Linked DNA regions of Macaca fascicularis. The protein of the gene in region 2 binds, or shares a complex with, the protein of the main gene of each other region. Links are inferred from orthologs where the notes say so. Each region holds a gene or a part of one and is shown on either strand. Other genes may lie near its edges.

Region 1 (2,224 bases), on a different chromosome or scaffold from region 2:
CTAGAAGATACCCAAAAGAGTGAGTCTACCCTTTTTCACATTCAGCCCTCTACTGATTTGCAAATAGGAGTCAGTGCCCACCCTGGTCTTTTCTCTGGAGTCCAGTAGGCCTAGACCTTCTGCCATTTTCCTGATGAGGTCTATATTTGAAATTAGGAAGATTAAGTTTGAATCTTCACATTTCTGATGTCTAGGAGATCTTCAGCAAGTTCCTTAATGTCTTTAAGCCTTGGTTTCATCATCTGGATAATAGGGATATCACACACTATTCAGAAGGTTGTTATGAGACCTAAATTAGCTAAAGCAGGTGAATCCTCCTTACTCCCTGCATGCAGCTCTCCGGAGACCTCTCCTGGTCATTGTGGGTGTCTCATGGTGGTCTTGGGCAGTTAAGGAGAAGTTAGGTGTCCAGAAGCAAAGATGGCTCAGAACTAGATAGAGTCTTGGGCATTTTGTAGAGAAAAACTCTTGTCTCCTTTCAAAAATAATTAAAAAAAATTAGCTGGGCATATTAGCCACTCAGCAAGGCTGCACGTGATAGCTCCTGAGTGCCCCAACTTTGGGTGGTGTCAATACACGATATCACGGGAGCCCAGGGTAGTCACCACGGAGGTGTCAGCCTCAGTGCTGTGGGCAGATGGATGGGGAGAGCCCTCCCGGAACTGGAGTCACTGGAGCAGGGTTGGGGACCTCACTGAGGGTACGACCTTGATCTCTAAGGAGGAGGGACTGCCTGGAAAAGCTGACTGGGAGAGAGGACTCGGCTGGGGGTGAAAGGGACTAGAGAAAGCAGGGGGGGGGCGGTGCTTATGCAGGACCTCAGATTCCTGGGGAACAGACTCCACTAAATAAGACACAGGAAACCACGGCTGATTCTTCAGCAGAGGCCATGCAGAGACAGGAATGACCTGAGAAAGTCGGGAAGTGGAGGGAAGGATGGTGTGGGAAGAGCAGGAATCTTGGAGACCATCTTAGAGGCTTGGCAGTCACCTGGGCACAAGATACAAGGGCCTGAGCCAAAGTGGTGAGGGAGGGTGGAAGGAGGCAGCCAAGAGAATGACCCTCCATGCCCACCGGAAGGTGGAAGGCTCTGAGAGTGATTCCTCCCACGTGCTGAGCACTTGTTCTCCCTCTTCCTCCCGCATAGCAGTCGGTCTCCTCCAAACAGAGGGTCACTGGTTTGGACTTCATTCCTGGGCTCCACCCCGTCCTGACCTTATCCCAGATGGACCAGACACTGGCAATCTACCAACAGATCCTCATCAATCTGCCTTCCAGAAACGTGATCCAAATATCCAACGACTTGGAGAATCTCCGGGACCTTCTTCACCTGCTGGCCTTCTCTAAGAGCTGCCATTTGCCCTTGGCCAGTGGCCTGGAGACCTTGGAGAGCCTGGGGGATGTCCTGGAAGCTTCACTCTACTCCACGGAGGTGGTGGCCCTGAGCAGGCTGCAGGGGTCTCTGCAGGACATGCTGTGGCAGCTGGACCTCAGCCCTGGGTGCTGAGGCCTTGAAGGTCACTCTTCCTGCAAGGACTACATTGAGGGAAGGAACTCTGGCTTCTAGGTGTCTCCAGGAGACCATGAGAGCTGGGTGCGGTGGCTCACAAATGTAATCTGAGCACTTTGGGAGGGCAAGGTGGGTGAATCACCTGATGTCAGGAGTTCAAGACCAGCCTGGCCAAATGGCAAAACCCCGTCTCTAATAAAAATATAAAAATCAACCAAGAGTGGTGGCGCATACTTGTAATCCCAACTACTTGGGAGGCTGAGGTGGGAGAATCACTTGAACCCAGGAGGCAGAGGTTATAGTGAGCCAACATCTCGCCACTGCACTCCAACCTGGGTGACACAGGGAGACTCCATCTCAAAAAAAAAAAAAAAAAAAAAAAATCACAGTCATTGTTTCCCTGTTCCTCACCCCATCCACTCTTCTTCATTTTCATATATTTTACTTGTACATTTGCTTAATTAATATCTACCCCAATAAGAATGTAGGCTCTGCTGGGCACAGTGGCTCACTCCTGTAATCCCAGCACTTTGGGAGGCCGAGGCAGGTGGATCATCTGAGGTCAGGAGTTTGGAACCAGCCTGACTAACATGGTGAAACCCCGTCTCTACTAAAAATACAAAAAAATTAGCCAGGGGTGCTGGCGGGAGCCTGTAATCCAGCTGCTCAGGAGGATGAGGCAGGAGAATCGCTTGAACCTGGGAGGCAGAAGTT
Region 2 (2,250 bases):
CTTGGCAGGATTTTTCTTTGTGATATAATCATTTCTATAAAAAATATGATGTACATTTGTCTTGTGTGTTTGTCTTCATTTCACATGTCCATAGTAAATATTTTTACATGAAGTTATTTATAGAGAATAGTAATTTACCAGTTTGTGATCATCTCTTTCATCATCATTGTTCTCAACATATGATATTATTAGCTCTTATTTTCAGATAGTCTCAAGCAGATGCTCAGTGTACAGCAGATAAGTTTTTAATAGTCAACACAATTAGTTTACTTTCATACCATATCTTATTTCACAATACAGTTATTTTAACTGTTTTTAGACAAGTTATTTTGGTCATTTCACTTTATTATAATCCACTTTTTTCAATTTTGGGCTAAAATTTTGTGGGAATGTAATTTGCTACAAAATATTAGGAAGAAAGTATCTTCAGAAGATAGCATTTTCCAGTAACAGTAGCCAATCTTTCCTGAGAGCTAAGCACTTGCAGACACTAATTTATTTCTAGCCACAACACCATGAAGCACATTTTTAGAGATGATGAAATTGAAAGGCAGAGAGGTTAATGTACTTGTTCATGGTTGTAGAATTGGAAGAACTCAAGTCTAAGTCTGTCTTGTCCCACTTTCAAATGCTATCTTAAACGGGCTCTTCCTTATGCTTTTTGATATATGTATTTTAGTAAAAAACTAGTTAATTTGTGGTTGACTTACATCCTTTATTATTAACTTAACACACTTCCATTTCTGCGAGTATGACATAATGAAGCAAAATTTTTTAACATAATTGAGCCTTAAAATGTGTGTTTTCTTTTAGCCAGAAACGTTTGAGCATCTTTTTATCAAGCATACAGCATCAGTGACATGTGGTCCTCTTCTTTTGGAGCCTGAAACAATTTCAGAAGATATCAGTGTTGATACATCATGGAAAAATAAAGATGAGATGGTGCCAACAACTGTGGTCTCTCTACTTTCAACAACAGATCTTGAAAAGGGTTCTGTTTGTATTAGTGACCAGTTCAACAGTGTTAACTTCTCTGAGGCTGAGGGTACCGAGGTAACCTGTGAGGATGAAAGCCAGAGACAACCCTTTGTTAAATATGCCACGCTGATCAGCAACTCTAAACCAAGTGAAACTGATGAAGAACAAGGGCTTATAAATAGTTCAGTTACCAAGTGCTTCTCTAGCAAAAATTCTCCATTGAAGGATTCTTTCTCTAATAGCTCATGGGAGATAGAGGCCCAGGCATTTTTTATATTATCAGATCAGCGTCCCAACATAATTTTACCACACCTCACATTCTCAGAAGGATTGGATGAACTTTTGAGACTGGAGGGAAATTTCCCTGAAGAAAATAATGATGAAAAGTCTATCTATTATTTAGGGGTCACCTCAATCAAAAAGAGAGAGAGTGGTGTGCTTTTGACTGACAAGTCAAGGGTATTGTGCCCATTCCCAGCCCCCTGTTTATTCACGGACATCAGAGTTCTCCAGGACAGTTGCTCACACTTTGTAGAAAATAATTTCAACTTAGGAACTTCTAGTAAGAAGACTTTTGCATCTTACATGCCTCAATTCCAAACTTGCTCTACTCAGACTCATAAGATCATGGAAAACAAGATGTGTGACCTAACTGTGTAATTTCACTGAAGAAACCTTCAGATTTGTGTTATAATGGGTCATATAAAGTGTAATAGATTACTTTATAGTTGTGGGTGGGAGAGAGAAAAGAAACCAGAGTCAAATTTGAAAATAATTGTTCCAAATGAATGTTGTCTGTTTGTCCTCTCTTAGTAGTATAGACAAAAAATTTGAGAAAGCCTTCATAAGCCTACCAATGTTGACACGCTCTTCTATTTTATTCCCAATCTGTAGTGGGAAGGTCCCTTGTTTCCAGCTAGAAATAAGCCCAATAGACACCATCTTTTGTGAAATGTAATTGTTTTTTCAGAGGGCGTGTTGTTTTACTGCAAGTTTTTGTTTTGTACCAACACACACACACACACACACACGCACACACTCTTAGCACTTGTCCTTGTGTGTTTTGAGAGTATGTTACATACTTATATTTTGTGCTATCAGACTGTAGGATTTGAAATATGACTTCCCTAAATGTTTAAGATAAACAGAGAATTCAGCCCTGGACTAAGGGGTTATACTTGTGAAGACTAATAAGCCAATTGTTATGTACCAAATTTAAGATACGTACCATAGAATGAAATAACCTCCAAGAATGGTGATGCCCACAATCCG

What was found. Proteins that work in one complex are often made in the same cells at the same time.
Region 1: the proteins of LEPR (region 2) and LEP are in contact, whole or in part, in a crystal structure (PDB 7Z3R), measured with the Mus musculus proteins. The link is inferred for Macaca fascicularis from reciprocal best matches to the Homo sapiens genes LEPR and LEP. Residues at the interface, in NP_666258.2 of Mus musculus: Tyr439, Leu440, Thr441, Arg466, Ser468, Leu469, Tyr470, Gln499, Pro500, Ile501, Phe502, Leu503, Leu504, Ser505, Val560, Phe561, Glu563, Asn564; in NP_032519.1 of Mus musculus: Lys26, Val27, Asp30, Thr33, Leu34, Lys36, Thr37, Thr40, Arg41, Gln92, Gln96, Asn99, Asp100, Glu102, Asn103, Asp106, Leu107, Leu110.

Annotation. Positions count from the first base shown.
Region 1 is NC_088377.1:169,928,486-169,930,709, forward strand, and holds the end of LEP (leptin), read left to right. Parts: intron 1-1,147; coding exon 1,148-1,507; 3' UTR 1,508-1,724; downstream 1,725-2,224. UniProt on the Homo sapiens protein: Key player in the regulation of energy balance and body weight control. Once released into the circulation, has central and peripheral effects by binding LEPR, found in many tissues, which results in the activation of several major signaling pathways.
Region 2 is NC_088375.1:169,057,178-169,059,427, reverse strand, and holds the end of LEPR (leptin receptor), read left to right. Parts: exon of another isoform or gene 1-55; intron 56-813; coding exon 814-1,638; 3' UTR 1,639-1,750; downstream 1,751-2,250. UniProt on the Homo sapiens protein: Receptor for hormone LEP/leptin. On ligand binding, mediates LEP central and peripheral effects through the activation of different signaling pathways such as JAK2/STAT3 and MAPK cascade/FOS.